Xenopus tropicalis: one gene and its partner. The protein of the gene in region 2 purifies or fractionates together with the protein of the main gene of each other region. This does not show direct contact. Links are inferred from orthologs where the notes say so. Each region holds a gene or a part of one and is shown on either strand. Other genes may lie near its edges.

Region 1 (4,297 bases), on a different chromosome or scaffold from region 2:
TTAAGCTTGAATGGCTGCTCCCATGGCTACACAGCAGCTTATTTATATAAACTATAGGAGCGTTCTGTAGCAAATACACCGGTTTTACCAGCGCAGGGCAACAGTACATTACATTTCAATTACTTTAAAACACTTTCATATTTTGGTGTTACTGTTCCTTTAAGCAACAAACTCCTTGCAGTACACATATTAGAAGCAGCAAGGCTTCTTTTAGCTCAAAAATGGAAAACCGATCTTATTCCCTCAATGCTGGAACTAAAAAACTTTATCAACCTCTCACAAACCCTTGAATATCACAATGCAATGGGACTCATGGAAGAACTTTACTGAGGCTGATATCCAGGAATTATAGCTAATAATTTATATTATTTGCTCTTCATATTTTTTTTTCTTTCTTCTTTCTCCTTTCTCTTTCCCCTGTTCTCTTCCTTTTCTTTCTTCCTACTTCACTTCCTTCTCTCTCTATGCTCTCTCTTCCTGTGATTCACGTACAGACACATTCAGTATTTGAGATACATATAGATATAATGCAAATCTTGAGAGTTAAACTTTTAGATGCAAAAAAATTGTCAATTAAAAAAGAAAAAAATTAAGGAATACAACCAATAACCAATACAAGAGGTAAAACAGGGTCCTGCTCAAAAGAGTTTACTGTAAAGTCATAGGATTTTATCAGTGCATGTCAAGGCACCAGTGGTTACCACTGGTGCCTTTCAGCACAGATGCCATGAGTTTGATTTTTATCTAGGCACTATCTAACAGGAATATCTATGCATGTCTGCATGTTTTTATTTTTCTCGAAAAACATACAGATAAACCAAATTTTAATTTAATCAAACCTTTGTTGTGTGAAGTTGATTGAGACTAGTGTTGCACAGACCAGCCTAAAATGTCTGGACCCAATGGCTGGGCATGATCGGGCTGGTGCAACACTTTTCTTGTTCTAGTCCTGACTCTACCCATGTACCACCCTGTGATGTCAGCATGTTGCAGCACTCCACTAGCTGGCTACCATCCTATTTATATCTTTATTCTGCCAAACCCCTCCACTCCAGTGATGCCAGGCATGTGTGGGTAAGGCATCACTAATTACGACCCTATAATAGCAGCTCCAATGGTGAGCAGAGGCTTTTGTAAATGACTAATAATTAGTGCTTCATCAGGTTGGCATTATATAAACATAATAAACAGAAAATAAATGAACTGCAGGACTGGCATTACTTGGGGCTAAAAAGAAATGGAATGATATGCCGAGACAGAAGGCTATTTTCTGTAAACGTGACCAAATACTATTTACATTTTTTGATAGCTATAAAATTATATACAGAACACCAGGATCTTCTGCATAGCTGTATGCGTGTGTCACACTTGGGGGTAAGGGCGGGGCACCAGGGCTTGTGCCGGCTGAGGCAGGGAAGACCGGGCCGTGACGTGACCAAATGCTATTTACATTTTTTGACAGCTATAAAATTATATACAGTGACTACTAGAACCATGTTTTCGTATACCTTGCTAAACAAACAGGGGCCTAAACAGACTTTTTGGTTAGAGGGGACAAACTAATACCATTAATACAGTAACAGTACAGTTTGTTAGGCTGTTCTTACCTTGCAGTAAGTACTCCATCATGTTAATAGTTCCTCCAGATACAGGCATTGTTGTGACTGGGGGAGCCTCCATTGCAAAATGTTAGTTCTCTAAATAAACAAAACAAATATATTATACACAATATTCATATGTTTACAATTGTAGTCAAGACAAGGCTGAATCTCCACTAATACTGCACTGCTTATGTTCTACTAGAACCCCCCTCCAGCCTGAACTTGTCCTGAATAAAAACAGAAACAATTGCATTCACTTTGCCAGTACAATGCTTCAGATTATTTTCCTACTTTCCTAGGTATGGTTTAATTTAGGGGTGCACCTAATTCAGGATTTGGTGAAGATTCTGCCTTTTTCAGCAGGGTTCAGCCAAATCCAAGCTTCAGGCCAAACTATATCCAAATCCTTAAAATCAGGTTACTTTTGCCTAATCTTTCACAAAGAGTTCAACCCCGGTGATTCATCCTTTCCTTCTCCTTTAACAATACCTGACATAGCACTATGTGCACAAGCCTCACATAGACATAAATGGGGGTCATCCCACTTTTAGATCTGTTAAGTAGAGTACTACCAGGCTAGCAAAATGTTGTTTTATTCCTGGGATGTTGCTCCCAGTGGCCTCAAAGGTGTTTATTTTTGAATTCCTGGCTTGGAGGCAAGTTATGGTTAAAAAAACAGGTGCACTGCCAAACAGAGCCTCAAATTAGCCAGTCCACATAGGGCCTACCAAATAGCCAATCACAGCCCATATTTGGCACCCCATGAACATTCACATGCGTGTGTTCCTCCCTAACTCTTTTTACCTTTCTATGTGGTTCATGCATAATAAGGTTTGGGGATCCCAACGTTATTCCAAAGTTATTAAGCAGGAAGTAAAACAAAGACTGTAAGGCCAGTCATTTCCTACTGAAAAGACAGCAATCCTAGGTGTTTTGTGTGTACATTTTTATGTAATAACTGTATATGCAGAGCTGTGTTTTCTTTTTACAATTCATTAACAATAAAGACACAGAGGTACAAACACGGCAGCTGATAAATACATACACTTACTAAAACAAAGTGCCCGACAAAATTTTGTAAATAAGTGAATGGAACCGGGATGCGACGGGATCAATTACTTCATTTAGAGCACAGCCAGCAAGCTCAAGCAGCTAATAAGTTAAGTTCCGGTGCCTAAGTGCACGGCTAACCCGCCATAAAACAACTCTCCCTCAAGTCCTCAGGAGGCTGGCTCCAGAACACCAGGAGCTTTTGCATTTGCGTACTGCGTGCGTGTGACGCACTTGGGGTGAGGGCGGGGCACCAGGGTGCCTGCTGAGGCACGGAAGACTGGGCCGTGACGTAGCACGCTTGTATGTGCCGTAAAGGAGAGGACGCTCGAAATAGAAGGTATTAACGCAGTCGTGGGGGGAGGGGGGTATTTTGCCCCTTATTTCGTAGGAAGCCAATACGATCTGCCAAAACCAAAAATTCCCCTACTGGTGGGTGATTAGATTACTGAAAATTCAGGACCACGTCTAATAAATACATGTTGCAGGGCAGCACTGATTGCATTTAAAATCAATACAGCCCTGCTAGCTGGATTTTTTAGACATGTCCCTAAATTTAAAGTAATCGGGCCACCCTACTACTGGCAACCATATATCTTAGTACAAATCATAGATCTTTACTTGCTCTTAAACCTGTCTTGGCGCAATTACAAATATGTGATAACATTGGTTAATGCTAGCACTGGTGGCTTAATTTTGACTCAATTATAACTTGCAAAAAATATGCAAGTCTGTCCACTTCTTGCTCAGAACAGATGACAATGGTAAAGCTTGAATACTGATTTTTGTCTCTTCAGGACCTGCCCTGTTTGACTCGGACAGCTCACTTTTTGGGAGGACTGTTTGGGGCAAAACTCCCTGCCCAGTTTTTCAAATTAGGGAAACAGGGCAAGACTCTCTTAGACTGACAGTTGCCAGTGGCCGATCACCCGTCATAACCCCACCCCTGACTTGATTGACCATGCCTCCATCACTCACCTGATTTATTGAGAAATTCCACCAAAACCATACTAGTCCCGCCCATCAGTTCCACTTCCTGCTGGCTGAATTCTCTGGATGAGCTGGGGAGCCGGCGGCCCTCCGTACACTACACTGTAGGATAGGAACCAATCAGCAGCTAGGCTGACCTGATAGGGAACTGAAGCCTGTCTTTGCTTGTGTGAGTGCAGGGTTGTGATTGGCTCTCCCCCTCCTACTGTGCTTCTGGAAGGGACCATTAGGACACGCCCACTCTTCATTTCACACTGGACGGAGAAGTGATACAATCTATAGGGAGCTCCAATAAAGGGGCCATTTTTACAGATAGGATTAATTTTTAGCACAAAGTGAAACCAGCACCTTATATTATTTATAATTGCCTACAAAATAAGTGTTTTTCTCATTTATCCAATATGTCTCCTTTAAAGGCACATATATTCATTGCTACAGAGCTGTGGTCACCTTTGGCTTTTCGAAACCCCCAAAACGTAATATACAACAATTCTGCCCTTCTTCTTTAGTGGCCAGGGGTGTTTTCATCATTGTTTTCATCAGTGTGCTTTTAAGAGTAAGTTTTCTATGTACCGAGAAGGCCCCTGGAAGAACTGCGCCAGCATCTGGCTTTTTTTTTTAATAGGTAATGCCATAATGTAGCTCTCCCATGTTTT
Region 2 (4,257 bases):
AACCTCCTATCATAATCATTGCCCAGACACGCCTTATACTGACACCCATGTCCCCCAAGCAGCACCCATAACCTTATGTACAAGCCCTACTTGCTACCAGTAAACTAACCAGCAGTTTCCCAGGCTCGCAGGATTCTACCTCCAGCCTATCAGAACTTTGCTCAGCCTTCAAGCCCAACGTCAATTCTAAAGGTGGCCATACACAGCCAGATCCTCTCATTCGGTGGGGTCACCAAACGAGCAGATCTGGGCCCACCACACTGGGTGGCAGCTTTTATCGGCCATAAATATATGTCGCTGACCAACACAAGTCAGTAATAGGGGGAAAGAATTGGGTCCAACTTTTGGCACATAAAATTAGCCAAAGGTTAGGATTTAAAGGCACAGTAACATCCCTGTCCTGCGATTATCAAGTCACATTAACAAATGAAACTTGGCAGGGCTTACTGGATTCCTATGTAGTCAGCTGCTTAGTAGTCATATCATGTCTGAGGGTTGGATAAATATTGAAATGAGGAGATCATACGGACGAGTATAAGCAGCCACTAAGCCCTAAAACGTGAAAAGCCACATTTATCCCAGAGGCTCCAGTTGGTCAGCCCTGCTTTCATTAAAGGGGCTCCTATAGTAAACACAAATTATCTATATATGCATAATGTACTATAAAGCGTTACTAGGGAAGATTCGGGCAACTAAATGGCCTGTGGGTCAGGTGGGGCCCTCCAATAAGTACTTAAAGCCCCCAGCCTAGGCAAAGGCTCCACTGCCTTCTTTGTATCATGCCATAATATCAATATAATCCATACCCTGTGTGTGATTGTTGTCCCACATAGCAGGAAAGTTATGCAGTACAAGTTGCACAGCACTGCTCCCAAACAAACATTAAGAATGCAGGAATTGTAGTTCATATCTGCTGGACAGACTAGAGCCTGACACCCCCGCCTTAATGGAACTGGTACAATCCTCTCTGCCTTTAGATTTCCCATTATGAGAGCTGTAGTCTCCTGCCGACGGCTGCACTGCTGCACAGACTACACGCTGCCATTTCTGAATGAAGGACACCTACTGGCTCTGATCCAGCTGTATCCCCCATAATGCAAATTCAGCAGTTTCTGTCATATACAGTTCATCCTTTAGCAATATTACATTGATTATTTGAGGCTGTGGGTTGGGAGAAATTTGCCATTTGCAGGCTTGGGCTTAGCACGTGATGCACGGCCCACACATACCCTGCGGCTTTACCCGTTTTACCCAGTGTGACATCACTTCCTGGCCCAGCTCCTTCCACCCTTATCATTATGACGACCCAGCTCAGCTACATCTGACTCTTCCTGGCCACTTTCTTTTATAAACTTGCCTCTAACCCACCCCCCTCTGGCAACATCAAAAGTGGGCAGGTAGGGCATGGGTTTATAAGACATGTTAACACAATGGGTCAGCCTGGGCTTGCGTGGGTTCAGGGCAGAAGCAGGTCAAAAACTCTTGTTTTCTCAGCAAATGCATATATGCTTGGTAGAAGAAACAGGAGGTAAGTGCACATTAGTACTTCCTGTGTCCTTGGCAGTGGACCCAAAACGGCCACCGCTAATGAGATGGAAAGTGCGATTCTGTAAAGGAAAAATCACATAAAGTGTTTCCATTGGGGCAAGAGTGGTCTACTCTTCACAGCAGCAACTTAAAGGAGAAGGAAAGGCTAATAGAGAGTTAATCTCAAGCTGCAGGCATACCCTCAGTTCTCTCAATAGTGCCCTTAAGTCTCCCCATATTTCTCCTGTTCAGATGATCAGAAGCCTCATAGGACAAAAAAAAAGGCTGAGTTCTTTAAAGAAAATTCCCATAAAGCCTCGCTCCTGCACCAAGACCAAGACTGGTGTACATGCTCAGTTAGTTAGACTATGAGTCAGCTTCCTGCTGATTGGCTCAGATCAAACATTCCTAAGGGGGGGGGGGGAGTTCTTAGCATTCTTGAGGGGGGGGACAGGAGAGAGGAGAAAGCTGCACAGACTCTGGCACAGGAAAACAAAGACAACAAACCCTGTTTCTTTTGATAGAGGACTCAGTGCAGCGTTTGTGTGAGTGCTTATGGCTGTATTTACATAGACCTTTCTGATAAAGCTTAACAGGAGCACCAGCCCGGGGTATCAGGTAAGTGATCTTAGTCACTTGGGCGGGGCGCTAACATTTTACCCCCCAATAATTCCCCCTTTCCTTCTTCTTTAACCCACCAACAGGTATTCCAAACCACAATCAAGTGTAAATAAGCCCTGCAGATATAAAGGGGTGTATTTATTAACATTGGAAGCCAACCTAACCAATCATGGGCACCATCCCCAGTGATGTTTGTCTCCAATGTTACCTGTATGGGGCCAAAGGGACACAGAATGCTACTGGCTGCAAAGGGAATGCAATAAAAGTACCTGCAAGTGGTGTCCAACTAAATGACAGTAAATACAAATACATTTATGCTACATACTAAAGCAAAATGACATTCCAGGCAACTTCCCATGATACACAAACACTGCTGGTTCCGACTGCTGAAACAGCTCAGTAGCGGGGCAGTGTTTCAGTTACAATGACCCCCAAACTAACTGTACCATTTAATGATGTCGTGCACCAGCGGTAGGAAGGTATACTCCTCTTCCTCCTCCTCTTCGGCAGCTTCATCCTCCTCTTCTTCCTCCTCCGGCTCCTCAGCCGGTCTCACATTGCCGCCGGTAGCCATGTTACTATCGCTGGCTTCACCGGCAGCACAAATACTGCGTCACAAGCTGTGCGTCGCGGCCTGTAGCTGAATACGGCGGTTTCGTAATGATGTCACTGGCGCGACCGCGGCTTGCGCGACGTCATAGATAAGGGCCCGTTCGGCTGCGCTAAGTTATTGACAAAAGGTTTCATTGTATATGGTGTTTGGTGATGGAAGTGATTCATTGAGGCGCCCTATTGCATGGGGCACTATAACAAGCAGCCCTTGTCACTTCAAAAACACCGTTGCATTATGGGATACGTTGTGACTAGTCCATATAGATTGTAAGCTCTACGGGGCAGGGACCTCCATCCTCTTGTGTCTTTGACTCTTAAATTATTGCAACTGTATCTTGTATTTATTTGTATTTATTGTTATACTTTGTATTTATCTATTATTATCTTAATAACCCCCTGTTATTAATCTATTCTTCTGTACTAGTGTGGTTACTGCTTCTAGCCCCTTTGGCGATTATAGACATTAGCATTAGAAACATATGTCGCTGGTGATGTTGCCCATAGCAACCAATCAGCATTAGATTTGAAGAGTCATAAAAGTTAGAAAACAAGAGTAAAACTCTTGATTTTTATGGGCAACATCAGTGGTGATTTTTGTTTCCAGCGTTAATAAATACTCCCCTCCATTTATTGACCAATAACCCTACTGTATCCATGGCCAGAGCTGTCGTTATAAGGTGGCGGATAAGGGACAGCTGCCCTGGGCTCTGTGCTCTATATACTTTTGTTCCCAAAAAATAGACAGCTAACAGCACTTCTGGTGTGGAAACTGTATGCACCAATTGCCATATTGTGGGGGTGTTCAGGGTGGCATAGCCCTAAAATTGAGCCCTGGCCATACAGCAGAGCCAGGGGCAGGTCTGGACTGGGATACAAAATAGGCCCTGGCATTTCCAGTACACAGAGGCCCAAACAGCCCCCCCACCAGCCCAATAAATAGCGACTGTCCATGGCATCCTACAGCAGCCCCTGAGGCATTTACTAGAACCCACTGATTGCCAGTCTGGGCCGTAGCTGGGGCTACAGATGGGTGAGTAGCTGGGGCTACAGATGGGTGAGTAGCTGGGGCTACAGATCGGTGAGTAGCTGGGGCTACAGAAGGGGGAGTAGCTGGGGCTACAGATGGGGGAGTAGCTGGGGCTACAGATGGGGGAGTAGCTGGGGCTACAGATGGATGAGTAGCTGGGGCTACAGATGGGTGAGTAGCTGGGGCTACAGATGGGTGAGTAGCTGGGGCTACAGATGAGGGAGTAGCTGGGGCTACAGATGGGGGAGTAGCTGGGGCTACAGATGGGGGAGTAGCTGGGGCTACAGATGGGGGAGTAGCTGGGGCTACAGATGGGTGAGTAGCTGGGGCTACAGATGGGTGAGTAGCTGGGGCTACAGATGGGTGAGTAGCTGGGGCTACAGATGGGGGAGTAGCTGGGGCTACAGATGGGGGAGTAGCTGGGGCTACAGATGGGGGAGTAGCTGGGGCTACAGGGAACGATTGTGGGC

Evidence for each region. Proteins that work in one complex are often made in the same cells at the same time.
Region 1: the proteins of med9 (region 2) and med18 purify together in Homo sapiens (affinity purification with mass spectrometry; 6 studies listed by BioGRID and IntAct, counting the BioPlex papers as one, with this or other methods). This does not show direct contact. The link is inferred for Xenopus tropicalis from reciprocal best matches to the Homo sapiens genes MED9 and MED18.

The regions. Positions count from the first base shown.
Region 1 is NC_030678.2:78,266,260-78,270,556, reverse strand, and holds the start of med18 (mediator of RNA polymerase II transcription subunit 18), read right to left. Parts: upstream 2,807-4,297; 5' UTR 2,653-2,806; exon of another isoform or gene 2,647-2,652; intron 1,698-2,646; 5' UTR 1,681-1,697; coding exon 1,608-1,680; intron 1-1,607. UniProt on the Homo sapiens protein: Component of the Mediator complex, a coactivator involved in the regulated transcription of nearly all RNA polymerase II-dependent genes.
Region 2 is NC_030685.2:15,709,648-15,713,904, forward strand, and holds the start of med9 (mediator of RNA polymerase II transcription subunit 9), read right to left. Parts: upstream 2,805-4,257; 5' UTR 2,723-2,804; coding exon 2,595-2,722; intron 1-2,594.